Linked DNA regions of Saccharomyces cerevisiae S288C. The gene in region 2 interacts genetically with the main gene of each other region. Each region holds a gene or a part of one and is shown on either strand. Other genes may lie near its edges.

Region 1 (8,238 bases), on a different chromosome or scaffold from region 2:
AGAAAAGTTTGAGGTGAATATCTTACCCGCGACATCTGGAGCGAGAAGAAAGCCGTAATCGATAACGTATTCTCTCAATGCTGTGGCGTTTCAGTAGTATTTTGTTATTACCGACGAAAACGGTTCCTCAAGAAATAAAATATATCTAGAGGTAAGTTGCAAAACGCTAGACTATTTATGGCAAGATTAGTATTTGCTGTCGTGATATCATAAGTAGAGACACATGTTCAGCTTCTCACTTGAATTTAGGTTAGAACAAAATCTTTAAACAGCAGTTACAATGAATGTTTGGGAGACCTAGTCAGTCTCCATACTGCCAAGAAAAAGGTTAGTCGAACTGGAAAAACAAGGCTGTACTGCACCCTAATGTTTCTTAGTAAGCAATTCGCTATCGACGCCGAATACCATGAACATCAACCTTGTGAAAGCTTTCGCATATTGGCGCTCAAGAGATATAGACGGTACTAGTGAAAGAGAGACAAGGCCGCCGGATTACTTGCTCTCGTCATTGTAATTGTTCAATTTCACAGACATTTCTCTGGCATGTATCCATTGGGGCACCACAATAAGGGAATATTTTACAATATCGTAAGCTGTTCGTAATACGCGGCTTCTCTTTACTCAAAGCCCAATGAATCCTGGCTTCGAAAATCATACAAACTGTGAAATCTACTTATTTGAAATGACAAACACTGCTTCCCAGTCTGGAGGCTCTCTTTGAGGATAACTAACATGTATGGCTAAAAATAGTTAAAATAATTGAGACGACATTGCACTTGCTATAATCAGACTTCAATAACATATGCATACAAGAAACTTCTCTTTTGAAATAGGAGCGGGGCTCCATCACAAAGAGATTGAAATTTGATACTAGCTCTAAAATCGAGGCAGGGATGTTCCAATGATCGAGTTTGTCATGAAATATAAGGATGTTCACGTCAAGCTCGAGAAATGTTTCAAAATACCGCGAAATAACTCAAAAAGCTGGGTCACGAAGAAATGATTCTAGAAACAGGCGCTTATGCTCTTATATAATGAGATGTCTACATCGTCAGAACTAAGTGCGAAGAATACGGCCTACATTAGAGATTCTTCAAGGTAGTGAAACGTATTCGTGGCAGTGGTTATGGAACTGCCTTACGGTTGATTCAAAAGACTCATTGCATACTCAATTTAAAACGGCTCAAATCATTTGAAAAAATAATAGGCAATATAAAATAGAGAAATCACAGCACCTTGACGGACTGATATTACGAATAACGAGTATCATTGCCAAAGTTTGGCGTATGGGCGACGTGCGTCCATGCAAATCTACAGTAGATATTTTCAAAAGAGATCATTGTCAAAAAGATAACTAACTACTCATGCTTTGAGGGCATGCAAAGTTTCCAGAAAAAAAAAGATGAACCACACTTAAGCTGAAGCAAATTATAAGTGTTGAAATGACTAGGCGCAGTTAATACGCAACTCAATCAGTCAACACAGGCTGGTTACTTTCTAAGTTACAGCATAAGTTTAGAGTAATTATTGAAATCTGTTGATATAGGTTGATTTCTTAGATGCATGAAATGCAGCAAGATCTTCATATGATTTCAGAGATTAGTCAAAAAGTTGTTAACAGTCATGCATAATATCACTAATTGGTAGAACAAGAATCAACTACTTTATTTGTCAATATTTTCAGAGAAAAATTGATGTATAGGGTTGACCATAAAATAATGAATGACACCATTTTTTTTTTGAAAGAGAAAACAAGATACAAACATTTAAAATATGCTGTTGAGTTCAATGCCTTCCATGAATTAATAAGATTAGGAAAAAAAATTACAATACATTCTATACTTCTAATACTACGATCTTTATTGAAATCGAATCCGAAATAAGAGAATCATAAAACTTAGATTGCTATCCTAGAACTTGTTCATAGTATCAGAGAATGTGCAGATCTTCTAAAAAGGAATTGAGACTATTCATAGGTAAGAAAACAGCGGGGAAAAGAAAGTTAACACCTGTTTGTTGACTTGCGAGAAAAAAGAGATTGGAATGGATTTAAACACTCCGATTTAATTTAAAGAAAACAATGGCTATTCAAAAAATCTTCCTGGACAAATTATACTTCCAGACAACACAGGGGAACGGAGAAGGAATCAAGAAAAGTAATTGTAGATTGCAGAAAGAACAATTAAAAGCTGCAAGAAGCATTACTTTTTAGCTTAATTTGCGGTACTTCATCAATTCGTATATCTATAAAAATATATTCAGAGACACAACTAGTTCACCTTCAGTTGGAGTATTCAATTTTTTAAAAAGTTCAAAAATGAAAGCCTTTAAAGCTGTTATGTTTGGCTTCTAGTGTGTACGAGCAATTCTAGTACCCAGCAGCTGTAACAAATCCATCGAGTAGTGCAGCAAGACCAACTGCTCCTGGATCTGGTAATCCACCTTCGCTGTCGAGTTTTCTCAGCTCCTCCTTAGCCACGTAAGAAGCACGCCCAACAAGGGCATCCATCTTCCTTGTCTTTTCGGCACCATCATAAGCAGCTTGGGCGGCGGCTCTGGGACCCTTCCCGGCTTTCAGCGCTTCGACAAAAGGTTGCAGAGCATCGATCAGAGTCCTGTAACCAGGACGGGCTCTCGTATACTTATACAAAGCATCTAGTGCAACGTTTGATGCCTTTTTGAAAGTTTCCGCAGTAAGTTCCTTGTCCCCAGAATCCCTAACTCCTTGTGCGAGAGCAGAAAGATAGATAGAGTACAGACCACCGGACGTACCACCCATAGAATCCTCAACCATATACGCAATATCTTCGATACCAAGAGCAGCATCCTCGAGGCGCAACGTATGGTTTTTAATAGCTTCTTCCAATGCTTCACCACCGGACACAAGAGTAGTTCCGCAATCACCATCTCCTGCAATGGTATCGTACCAAGTAACCTTTGGTTCAACCTCGTTAATTTTTGCAATCCCAGCAAGCAAAATTTTAGCAAAAGTGTCATAATCAGCTTTCACACCCGAACCTTTTTCATTCCTCAATGTCTTTAAAGAGGGGGCGGTGGGAACCTGCCCTTTGGCAAGTACCTCCCAATCTTTGGCAGAATGGTACATTTGATTCCATCCACTCGCTGTGGTAGGATAATCGAAATACTTAAGGATATCGCCACCAGCTTTTGAAGCGTTCATAAGAGTGATACCAAACCCAGGACCATTCAATGCAGTAATGAATGCTCCAGTAATCGTTCTCTTGGGCACAATTTGATACTTATCAATCAATTGTTCAGAAATGACCTCTGCAGCATAACCCAATTCTAGATTAGACATACCACCCATGTTGTTAACCATAAGAACTACGTCCTCTTTGGGCTCAAACTTCACATAAGAACGGTCTTCATCCTCATCGAGAAGAAGAGGAAGCATCTGGGAAACGAGCTCAGAAATCGATGGCAGCGGAGAAGACTTATAGGTACCAGACTCGTTATGAATACCCATACCGATTTCATACTCATTCTCGCCCAAAATGGCTTCAGGTTTGTGGCCAGGAACCGTGCAGTGATCAAGAGATGCCGCAATTGTGACACTATTGTCAACTACTGACTGAGCAACTTCGGCAACTTCTGCCAACTCCAGTCCATGAGAAGCGGCTGCCCCAGCAATTTTATGCACCAATACGGTGGCTCCGAGACCTCGACGCCCGACTAAAGAACCTTTCTTCTTACCGACAGAGACATCATCTCCTACAGCAACCAGTTCGACTTTCATTCCAGCAGCTTTAGCTCTTTCAGCAGCGAGACCAAAATGTATAATATCACCGGTGTAATTTTTTACAATGATCAAGGTACCCTTAGGAGATTCAACAGCTTTAATAGCAGAATAGATCTGTTTAGTTGAAGGAGAAGCAAAAATGGCACCTGCTGCAATCGCATCTAAGGCACCTTCACCAACAAAACCGGCATGCGTTGGCTCATGACCACTGCCACCTCCAGAAACCAATGAAACTTTAGGAGGGTTCCCTGAATTAGGAGCTGACGCAGTCCGGAAAACCACTCTGTCGTGCTTAATCACTGTAAGGCCGGGATTGCTTCGAGCAAGGCCAAGTAGGTAGGGAGTAACGATGTTTCCATCTGATTTGAATTGTTTGTGAGACATGATTATTTAGTCAATTGTAGTTGGGTTTTGTCAGATTTTGAGGTAAAATACACTTTACAGACAATACTAGAAAAAAAAAGGGCTGATCTGGGTTCATTTATATATATTTAATGATCCAAAGTTTGAAAATTCAATCACACATTGCGGTATTTTCCCCTTCTCGTATTGTTGAGATCCTTATACAATATCAAGTACTTAATTATCCAACTATGGTGACGTAAGAATTTACTTGGCTCAATATCTCCCTATTTGGTACTACGATACGATTTCATGAAATTATGAGTTAAATAATTTAGAATCTAGTTATGGCCTGGCGGGAATTGTTTCTGTGCAGGGATTTACTCACAATCACCCTCTGCGGGAATAATATGCATAGGTTGTGATTAATTTTTTAAATTAAGTTCCATCAGAAGGCCTAGTTTTCTCCGTTGATAACTCCGCTCCGGAATATCATAATTTTCCGGTACCCCACTTACCCCGGAAATTTGAGTTATAAACGTTGTTTGAGCTTTACCTAGTCTTGGTCGATCAAAAGTTCTGGTACCTTTTCACCATGTCTCCCCCTTATTCATATAAAAAGAAGCGTATAATCGCACAGTATAACGCTCCTCTGATATATGATCTAGACCCAAGTAATGAGTTACGAATCTGGGAGGTCATCCTCCTCTTCCGAGAGTACACGGCCACCAACGCTAAAAGAAGAACCTAATGGTAAAATAGCTTGGGAAGAAAGTGTCAAAAAATCTAGGGAAAATAACGAAAATGACAGCACTCTCTTGAGGCGAAAGCTAGGTGAGACTCGAAAAGCAATTGAAACTGGAGGATCATCGAGAAATAAACTTTCTGCTTTGACACCCTTGAAAAAAGTGGTTGACGAGAGGAAGGATTCGGTACAACCACAGGTCCCTTCCATGGGTTTTACTTATTCTTTGCCTAATTTGAAGACTTTAAACAGTTTTTCAGATGCTGAGCAAGCACGTATAATGCAAGATTATCTATCCAGGGGGGTAAATCAAGGCAACAGTAATAATTATGTAGACCCACTATATCGGCAATTAAATCCAACTATGGGTAGTAGCAGGAACAGGCCTGTTTGGAGTTTAAATCAGCCGTTACCGCATGTATTGGATCGAGGCTTGGCAGCAAAGATGATACAAAAGAATATGGATGCAAGGTCCCGCGCATCATCGAGACGAGGGTCGACCGATATTTCAAGGGGGGGTTCTACTACGTCAGTGAAAGACTGGAAAAGGCTCCTTAGAGGTGCAGCACCGGGTAAAAAGCTTGGTGACATCGAAGCTCAAACGCAACGCGATAATACTGTTGGTGCAGATGTGAAACCTACTAAGTTAGAGCCTGAAAACCCACAAAAGCCCTCTAACACGCATATTGAGAATGTTTCACGTAAGAAAAAGCGTACTTCGCATAATGTCAATTTTTCATTAGGCGATGAAAGCTACGCATCCTCCATAGCCGATGCAGAATCCAGAAAATTAAAGAACATGCAAACCCTCGATGGTTCTACTCCGGTTTATACGAAGCTTCCTGAAGAACTTATTGAAGAGGAAAATAAAAGTACGAGTGCATTAGATGGTAATGAAATTGGTGCCTCAGAAGATGAAGACGCGGATATAATGACATTTCCTAACTTTTGGGCAAAAATTCGCTATCATATGCGAGAACCGTTTGCGGAGTTTCTCGGGACACTAGTTCTTGTCATTTTTGGTGTTGGTGGTAATCTTCAAGCAACTGTAACAAAAGGTAGTGGTGGTTCCTATGAATCCCTATCATTTGCATGGGGGTTCGGTTGTATGCTTGGTGTTTACGTCGCAGGCGGTATTAGTGGTGGTCATATTAACCCTGCTGTTACGATTTCAATGGCAATTTTTCGAAAATTCCCCTGGAAAAAGGTGCCCGTATATATTGTTGCTCAGATTATCGGTGCATATTTTGGAGGAGCTATGGCTTATGGTTATTTTTGGAGCTCTATCACAGAATTTGAGGGAGGTCCGCACATAAGAACAACGGCGACCGGTGCGTGTTTGTTTACTGATCCAAAGTCTTACGTCACGTGGAGAAATGCCTTCTTTGACGAATTCATAGGAGCCTCTATACTTGTGGGTTGTTTGATGGCGCTATTGGATGATAGTAATGCTCCACCTGGCAATGGTATGACCGCATTAATTATTGGATTCTTAGTCGCTGCAATTGGTATGGCCCTTGGATATCAAACAAGTTTCACAATCAATCCTGCAAGAGATCTCGGTCCTCGCATATTTGCTTCCATGATTGGCTATGGTCCACATGCTTTTCATCTCACACATTGGTGGTGGACATGGGGAGCCTGGGGTGGTCCAATTGCCGGCGGTATTGCTGGAGCACTCATATATGACATTTTCATTTTTACTGGATGCGAATCCCCAGTCAACTACCCAGACAACGGTTATATTGAGAATAGGGTAGGTAAACTTTTACATGCGGAGTTCCACCAGAATGATGGCACTGTCTCAGATGAATCTGGTGTTAACAGCAACAGCAACACTGGCAGCAAGAAATCTGTGCCTACTTCGTCATAATTAATATTTTCAATTTTTTACGATTTATAACCTAATTATTAATTTCACGAACTTATTATTTGACGACATACTACATCCGGGAGCCGTGACTTTGTTACCATCTCTTACTTGTGCTCTAAATTCTATCGTTTTGTTTTTGTAATAAAGAATGAGACTGCCTGCGGCTTAATTGTCTTTTTATTGTAGGCAAGAACAAAATTCGACTAATACGTAAAATTAAATGTCAAACCAGGAGTCTCACATTATGTTATTAATAAAAATAATAAAATTTTCAGCTCGTTGACGATAGGAAAATTCCTGGCACCATCAACTAGGTAATCCCACTGAAGATGTGTTTTATATGAATATGTGCTATATTTACTAATAATAAAGAGCAAGTTGCCAAATAAACTAATTGTGCTCAAAGAAAATTATTGTCATTATCATATATTTTCTCATATGCAATTTCAATCAATTTTAGACAAGTGATTATATATATGTAAACGGTTGTTTTTTGATGTTACGTTCTGTATGATTGACCAATGCTATTTTTCTCATGCGATATAAATTGGAGAAGTGCCATATTGATTTACGTTACTCAAGTTGTCAATTTCAGCCTGACGTTGAAAAAGATAACAAAATTTGCTCAGATAGGGGCAAAAATCACACTGCCAGCAAATATTTTAAGGATTGATACTTTGGCTAATCCAAGGCCAAAGCAGAAAAATCTATCACCTTTTTCAATTCACCCAACGTTCTCACTAAATGGATGAAAATTCGGTAGATTCTTATCGTATATTTCGTACCAATAACTTGAGTATACCGAACAATAATATAACTCGGCAGTCATTTCCGGCTATACCGTTTTCAGAAAGAGGTTGCCTTTTGATAATGTGGCCAAACGAGGAATTATCTGTTAAAGCCATTATTACATCTCTCAGCAAACTAGTTTTTTAAAGCCACCTCAGCAAAAAGCGCGACCAGGACTTCTTCGGATGTTCTTGGCGTTATTTTGAGTCTTTTGTTTGTTTTACTAAAACCCCCCTAAAGATTAATTATTCTCAAAAATAGTTAACAGGCTGTCTGTCGCCACTCGAAGTCCGGAAAAATGTGCACTTATCTTTTAAGTCCGCCTACCCCGCATCTTCTTTTCCAGGATATTTTTCTCCGAGCACAGAGATTCCGCAAGAGTTTAAAAGTACAATTAACCTTTTATCTTTAAGCTTTTTTTTCCGGAAATATAAGGTTTTCGTCAGGTAAATTTATTTTGGGAGCAGCAACAACATATTACACGTTCCACGTATTTCCCATGATAAAATATATTCATTTCCCCTAATATTTAACTACAATAGTCAGCTCTTCTACAATCCCTAAACGAGCTTTTGATTGGATAAGTGCAAATAAAACAAGAACAGTAATCTTGAATCTTGCATTTGCTCTTTTCTTTGGAAAACACGCAAGCTCGTATAAACTGTATTTTTCAGGAACAGGATAAGATGTGCTAGGTGAAAAGAGGTGCTTGGTCTAGAATATAACTCG
Region 2 (8,135 bases):
ATGAATTGTTTAATAATTATGGTAATATTTCTAATGAAAAATGTTTGTTAAACTACGGGTTTTGGGATTCCTCGAATAAGTTTGACTTCTCTAGGTTGACTTTAAAGCTACCATCCACCTTAGTTAGCGGTTTGCCCGTGGATTTTAACAAATCAGGTAATTTTGTTACTGACGATGGAGAAACTACCATTTTACAATTTAGTTTAAAAATTTCTGAACCATTACCACCGGTTCTACTAGCGTTATTTGCCTACCTAAGTAAATTAAAGTCTGAAGAAACTCCAACCGTAAGGAGCGTATTGGAAGGTATTGATCAATTAACATCTGTAGTATCCCAGAGATTGCTGTTTTATAAGAATTTTAAAATTAAAACTTCTTCGACTCAAAAATTACGCCCTCATGTTATTAAACTAATCAAACTATACTATCAAGATAACAAAAAAATTCTGAACGCCACTACTGAGAAATTGTCCGTTTTACAAAAAAAAATATATAGCAATAATAAGGAGTTTTCTCTGTCATTCAAGACAATTTTTAAAAACGACAAAATATTTGCCAATTCTCTCTTACTGGTATTTGGTGCTATAAATTACGAAGATTTGATCACAAAAGACTGTCTTAATGACGCATTGTTGCTCTGGATAGTCAAATTAATCAACGATAAAAGTAATAATCAGGGAGGTTTCATTAAACAAACCTTCAAAGAAGTTAGTGATTCAATTGTCATTGAAAAAGAAGATGTTATGGAGTTTTTGCCGTTCTATAAAAAATACTTCCCTAATTTATCGGAGAGAATTCCAGAAATTTATAGTGTCGGTGATTGGGGCATAAGACAGTTCATTGTGGCAGATACTGCGATTGATAGATTGGTTTGGATCAGGAAATCAAATAAAGAGCCTATATTTCTAATGAAGAAGGCATACGACTTACAGATTTAGCTTTGATCTGTAGCCTAAGTATAAAATTCTACGTATGTATATATTTACATGCAATTTTTTCTTTTTCCAATTCATGTTAATGTTCTTCATCATTTGATAATAGGCCAATGATATTATCTACTATCTTCTCCTTTTGAGGAGAAGCTGCTTTCACTTCCTCGTTGCTTTTCTCTTCGTATAAATACATGAATTTCGACTTGTCCAGCATTTTTTTATCAATACAATGCATGTGCCCATGAAGTTCTACCTCCGACAAATCTTTAACAAAATATGTCGTTATTTGTGTCATGAATTTCAGTAGGGTTTGAAATATTTCGGGTATGGCGTTCTTCTTATCCAGAATAACAATTTTGTAGTTTGCTGATAATGTTATTGGACGAAGCTGGATGGGCCTATTTACGCGGAACTTTTCGCCATATATTTCCTGTTCGAAGTATAAAAGTTGGTTGGCCAATTTCTTTAATCCGTTTGCAGATTGTAGCGATTGTTCATTCGCAAAACCAGGTTCTATTGTTGCATTTATTGACTCAGTGAAACCCACCAACTCCATTAAAGTTGGTCTTAAATCATCTTGCATAAACTTGTACAAGTTTGGCTGGAAAATTCTAATCATTTTCGATTTTGTCAGCACGGTTTGCAAAATTAATGTGATGTGTTCAAATCTTGATAAAGTCGTTTCATCATTTTGGAAAATAGAGAATTGGTTCCATTTCATTTCTGAAATTACCAGTGCGGAATATGTTTGTAGGTCATGAAGAAAAGAGTCGTATTTTGTCTTGTAGTTGATCAGAGAAGCTTGGTCCGTGGGTATTTTCATGGACTCGGTCTCTTGATATTGCTTCCATATATATGAGTCCCAAACATTCCAACTAAATTGAAAGGAAGGCGCATTATCGTTACCAGAGAAGGAACGGATGCTTTTCTTGTTACGTTGTAAAATGGTGAATATATTGTAGAGAATGAAATTTTTGCAAAATTCAGCCCTCAATTGCCGGATGGAGAAGTCGTTTGATAATATTGTAGCTCTTAAAATGTCTCCAGGGCACGTTCTGTCTTTGTTTGATTGTTTGCTCCACAATGTCTTATGGCTAACCGATCTTTCTAAAAGTTGCTTCAAAGTGACGACATTACCACCAGCGATTCGAGTTGTGGCACTGTTTGCATCCAGATAGAATGGTTTACCCTCTTCGTTCGCCAGTATCCGACCAGCGTTAGCCTTCTCAATGCGCTTTCGTTCATTCAAGGTGCAAAGTGGCGAAGCTATCTTGGTCTTCAATTTGTCTACCTCAGTAACGAAAAATTCTCTATGTTTATCTACAAAGTAAGGGAAAATACCAATTCCATCGAATTCCCCAATCATCGCCTCATCGGAAACCTGGAAAAGAGGCAAGGGCTTTGCATTAGCTGGGTTTACAAACATGGGTACCTCACCATTATTTTGTTCCAAGAGTCTATCGTAAGTGCTCTTCTTAACCCCGATTCCCCGACAAAAGTTTGAAAATATCGACTTAGGCCAAATTACACGCTGCAGTTTCAACTTATCATCTTTGCATCGTACCCTTATTAATTGTTGCCACTCGAAAGATGGCTTGAAGTCCTCATCCATTTCGCTGAACAACTTCTCGTAGAGACTTAAGGGGTGGTCAAACATAGGCGCAATCCGTTCCCAGTGTTGGATCCTCTTCTTCGAGGATTTTTGAGTTAGATCTGTTCTAACAATCTTGAATGCGTGTTCGCGAGGGGCGTTTATATCACGTAATAGCAGTTTTTGCAAGTCCGTGAGTGAAATATTATACAGTACTCCTTCAAGATCACAATATTCATAAGATAAGTTTGTCTTCTTAAACGCTTGCTTACAGCGAGGGAACACCTGATGTGTGATATTCTCCATGTTGAACTTATACCTGTAACGAGAGGAACTGCCCTGTCTCCTCAATGAGACCATGAACAATGTTTGCCAATTCACCATTTTGGTCACTCTGTCTCAAACCTTTCCTTCAGCGCAGCCTTACTCCTTCAAGAGAAGCCTTCATTGTCCATTCACTTAAGCATAATTTGTCATCTTCAATGCAATTGAACTTTCACTAAATACACCCATACACACCAATCTTGGATTCTACTCGGCGGCAATCTTCACTCTTTCCTTTGTTTTATCATTTTCTATTCCACCTTTAGTTCCCCAACTTCACCTCTTATCGAACTATCAACACATTTGACTATCATTTTGGCAAATTCACTCACGTGAGGGCGTGTGCTAACCATGCAAGGGTTATGGCATGCGCATCCATGTGGCGTTTCCTACTTTTATTTTTACATAATATATAAGATAATTGCACATGCAAACAGTCAATCTTTTTCCTGCAATTGATGTGGAGACCAAAAGGTTTGCATCTCCTAGTACCACGATTTTTTGGTGCAAAAGTGTTGATAATGTAATTCAGGTAGAAAAGGTAGAAGTTTCCTCTAGTATGTTCACAGATTGGATTAGAAAAAAAGATCACGCGACTCTTGCCGGAAAAAACTGTGGCGTCGCTGCATATATATGACAAATCAATCATATAGATTAGAGGCCTGCCTGAGTCAAGGGGCAAAAACAATACACATATAAAGACCTGGATGCTTATCGATGATCTGTACATTCTGTTTGTAGTCTAAGTTGCTGAGGGCAACGTAGACGTACAGTGCTCAAAATAAGTAAAAATGGAACCGCTGCTTTTTAATAGTGGGAAAGCAAATCCCTCTCAAGATGTTTTCATAGATGTGGAAGTTGGTGATATTACCACAAAATATGGTTCCACAAATACTGGATCATTCAGTTCGATGGATACTGTGGAAGCGCAGGCGATAAAGGCAGAGACGGCAAGATTCATGGAAGTTCCACAGGGAAGACATTTAGGTGTGTTCTCCACGGTTGTGTTATTTGTTTCGAGGATAATGGGGTCAGGTATATTTGCAGTACCCAGTGTGATTTTACTGAATACAGGTGGTAATAAGCTGATATATTTTGCGATCTGGGTTTTTAGCGCTGCGATCGCTTTTGCAGGATTGTATCTTTTTCTAGAATTTGGTTCCTGGATACCGAAATCAGGTGGACGTAAAAACTTCCTCGAACGGAGTTTTGAAAGACCCAGACTATTAATTAGTGTGGTGTTTTCGTGTTACAGTGTTTTAACTGGCTATGCATTGACGGGATCTATCGTCTTCGGTAAATACGTGTTGAGCGCATTTGGAGTCACGGATGATTCGTGGTCCAAGTACGTCAGCATATCATTTATAATATTTGCCGTTCTCATTCACGGTGTCTCTGTAAGGCACGGAGTGTTTATACAGAACGCACTTGGTGGTTTGAAGTTGATCATGATTGTCTTGATGTGCTTTGCCGGGCTATACACGCTTTTCTTTTATAAAAGCACCGGTCAAGTTGCCTGGGACCTCCCAGTAACCCAAGTTGAGAAAGATTCTCTCCTGTCGGTGTCCTCTATTGCTACTGCCTTTATCAGCTCATTCTTTTGTTTTTCTGGATGGGATACAGTTCACACAGTTACATCAGAAATTAAGAATCCCGTTAAGACGTTGAAGGTGTCAGGTCCCTTATCGTTGATAATTTGTTTTGTCTGCTACACAATGATGAATGTGGCATACTTGAAAGTTTTGACATATGAGGAAATTGTTAGTGCAGGCCCCCTGGTTGGTTCCGTGTTGTTTACCAAACTTTTCGGACCCAGAGTTGGTGGCAAATTCATTGCTTTTTCTATCGCCATTTCTGCAGCATCTAATATTCTGGTTGTCATTTACAGTATATCAAGAGTTAACCAGGAAATATTCAAAGAAGGTTATTTACCATTCAGTATTCATATGTCCAAAAATTGGCCATTTGATGCACCTCTACCATCTATTTCTTTATGTGGCTTTATAACCATTGCTTGGATATTGATTTTACCCAAAGAGGGCGAATCCTTCAATTATCTGGTATCGATGGATGGTTATGGTAATCAGTTTTTCTTATTATTGGTCGCTATTGGGCTCTTTATTTGGAGGTTCAAACACAAGAACGAAGTCCCAGAGATTCGTGCATCTACTTTTGGAGTATTAGCCATTATTACATTATCATTATACATGTTGATGGCACCATTCTTTGCCGACCCTAGCCTAAACAGAGTTGGGTTCCTGCCGCCCTACCAAATCATGTCATTACTGGTAATAGTTGCATGCTTCTTTTTCTGGTTAGTTAAATTCGTTTTACTACCTAAATTCTTCCATTATAAACTTTTACCCAAAATCACTTATTTGCATGATGGGCTCATTGTCACAGAATGGGTGAAAAAGCCATGTCTGTGTTAGTTTTTCCTTTTCTACATAAATATTTTATAGACTACTATTGCATTTTTAATAAATAATATTCATCCTCATCTTTGAATAAAAGAAAGAAACATTCGATTATTTCATCATCTTACTTGATTGCTTGGCTATTTGCTTCAAAAGCTCTAGGCCCCCACTGTCACGACACATACTATAAAATATACCGCGTTCATCTTTCAACAGTTCACTAGGGCGATCATATTCTTTTACCTCACCGGCATCCATCACAATTATCCTGTCGTAATCGATAACAGATCTCAAACGATGTGCAATAGTAAGAATTGTGCTTTTATTAAACTCACTTCTTATAATACCCTGAATTAAATGGTCAGAATCGTAATCAATAGAGGAAGTAGCCTCGTCCAAAAGTATTATCTTTGGCTCGCGTAACAATGATCGTGCAATAAAAAGCAATTGCCTTTCACCTTGGGACAGATTTAAGCCGCCCTCAGCTATTTCTGTGTGAAGATTTAAAAATTTATTATGAGTGCTGTTAAAGCGTTCCTCCGAGTTAAGCACTTCTTCAAATTCATGTGAAGAAATTAGATTTACTTGTGAAAGTGCTTTGAATATTTTTTTTTCATCATATTCATCATATGGATCAACATTACTTTTGATTGTACCTGCAAATAGAATAGGGTCCTGAGGGATGATAGTAATGGAACGACGTAATGTAACGAGATCAATTTTACTTATATCCTGCCCATCTATTTTGATACATCCGGTTATTGGTTCTAGTAATCTGAATAATGCCGTTATTATGGTAGATTTGCCTGCGCCAGTTCTTCCGACAATCCCAATCTTACTTTGAGGATCCACTTTGAAACTAACATTTCTTATGACAGGAGGCAAATTTGGCGCGTAACGTAAAGATAAGTTTTCAATTTCAATTTCTCCATCTTTTGGCCACGATGGTTCGTTTAGAAGTAGAATGCGGCCTTCATCATGGCCAAGATAGTTCTCTTGTTCAATGCTAGAATATTCTTTTAGTCTTTCAACAGAGTTCATGTTCATTTCAAATGTTGAGTACAGTCTAACTAACCATAAAGCACCATCTGTAAACAAAATGGCATATGTCAAAGAAATGCCGGCAAGACCCGAGTCAATATTTGCAATATTGAGCAGAATAAAAGAACCTGATGCTAAAACAATGAATGCGCCAATCATGTCGACTCTAAAAGAAAACCATTTGACAGTAACTGATAAATAAAAGAATGCTCTGTTATTTTGGTCAATTTTGTTCATATTTTCTAAAATGAATCTCCTCTCGTCGCCAAATGCACGAATTGTGCAAACGCCTACCAAGGTCTCTGAGAAATGTTGAAAAATGGGTGATTTGGTTATTGAATCTAACCTTTTCAATTCTCTACTTGCCGTTAAGTACCATTTCCCCACAAAGAAATATAAAACAAAAACGATAACGGCGACTGTCAAAAAGCGAGGAGTTATTACGGTAATGAGAAATATAATTGATGCGCATTGAATTAGGCAAAATATAGTTACTTCTAAGTATGGAATCAATTCTTGATCAACACCTTCGATGTCCTTTGAAAAGCGATTCATGATTCTACCAACCGGCGTCACGTCGAAAAATCGTATTTGGGCATGTAGAACTAGATCTAGCAGATTATTAAAGATCTTTCTGGAGGCTCGCATACCGGATAAAAACGTCATCATTGTTTTAAAACCACCTAGCATTGCCTGAATGATACCAATAAGAAAATATACGGTTAAGTAATAAAATGCATTATGTTTATTTTTCGAAGAGTCGGTCATCCCTTTTAATGGCAGCGTGTCCATCGCAAAACCTGGAGCATTTATTCGTACATTGGTATCGTTGACCCAATGTCGTATCCACCAAGACTGACTGATGAACAAAATTTGAGCTGTGATATAAAGAGCGAACAGGGCTGTTAAAGCTTTGAAGCCTCCAAAAAATTTCAGGTACCATTTATAAACATCGGGGCTTATGGCACCGTTTGATTTTTCTTCCTCTTCTATTAGCTGGCCATCATTGACAAAATTTGCATCAAAATTTATGTTCTCGGTGACAGGTTCGATTTTCTGAGAGTCATTTTTTCTGGGAGCTTTTAATCTATTAGCGTTCTTTTCATTAATGCTATCTCGAGAAGAAAGTTGAACATATTTTTCCTTAAAAAGCCCTTTGCTTTGTAATTCTGTAATAGTTCCTTGATTCTTCACTTTGCCATTTTCCAACACAATCGCGAAATGGGCATTTCTAAGTGTTAATGAAACATTGTGCGTAACTAAAATGCAGGTTCTATTTTTCATTAGTGGACCTGTGATGCAATTTTCATAGATCCATACAGCAGTATGTGAATCGACAGCGCTCAAACAATCATCTAGTAAGACATGCTTAGCACTCGAATAAACAGCTCTCGCCAAGGAAATTCTCTGTTTCTGCCCTCCTGATAAAGTTATACCCTTTTCACCAATTTCTGTTAGGTCACCTGCTGGTAAAATCTCCAGGTCTCTTTTCAGCCCACATGCATCAATTACTTTGTTGTACCTATCCTCGTTATAGAAGTTATCAAAGATAATATTGTTTTTTACCGTGTCATTTAATAGCCACGCACTTTGTGAACAATATGCGAAGGAATTGGTTAAACCTTCGCAGTCGGGAATTAAATCATGCTTTGGTTCTAAGCTCGGAACAATGATAGAGCCACTAATTAGATTTAGTTCACCCAGTAAACCCAGCAGCAATGCACTTTTACCAGATCCTGTAGAACCCAAAATCAAATTTAACTTACCAATTTGAAATTTAATATTCAAACCACATAATTTGAATGCATTCATATCGCTGTCATTTTCATT

Evidence for each region.
Region 1: mutations in MUP3 (region 2) and DAK2 together harm fitness more than expected from each alone (negative genetic interaction), as found in Saccharomyces cerevisiae (one large-scale study listed by BioGRID).

What each region holds. Positions count from the first base shown.
Region 1 is NC_001138.5:19,329-27,566, reverse strand, and holds DAK2 (dihydroxyacetone kinase), read right to left. Parts: upstream 4,145-8,238; coding exon 2,369-4,144; downstream 1-2,368. Other genes in the region: AQY3 (Aqy3p), read left to right, coding at 4,780-6,720. UniProt on the Saccharomyces cerevisiae protein: Catalyzes both the phosphorylation of dihydroxyacetone and of glyceraldehyde.
Region 2 is NC_001140.6:22,603-30,737, forward strand, and holds MUP3 (Mup3p), read left to right. Parts: upstream 1-3,638; coding exon 3,639-5,279; downstream 5,280-8,135. Other genes in the region: EFM1 (protein-lysine N-methyltransferase), read left to right, coding at 1-938; CBP2 (Cbp2p), read right to left, coding at 1,015-2,907; YHL037C (uncharacterized protein), read right to left, coding at 3,176-3,577; putative ATP-binding cassette multidrug transporter VMR1, read right to left, coding at 5,376-8,135. UniProt on the Saccharomyces cerevisiae protein: Very low affinity permease for methionine.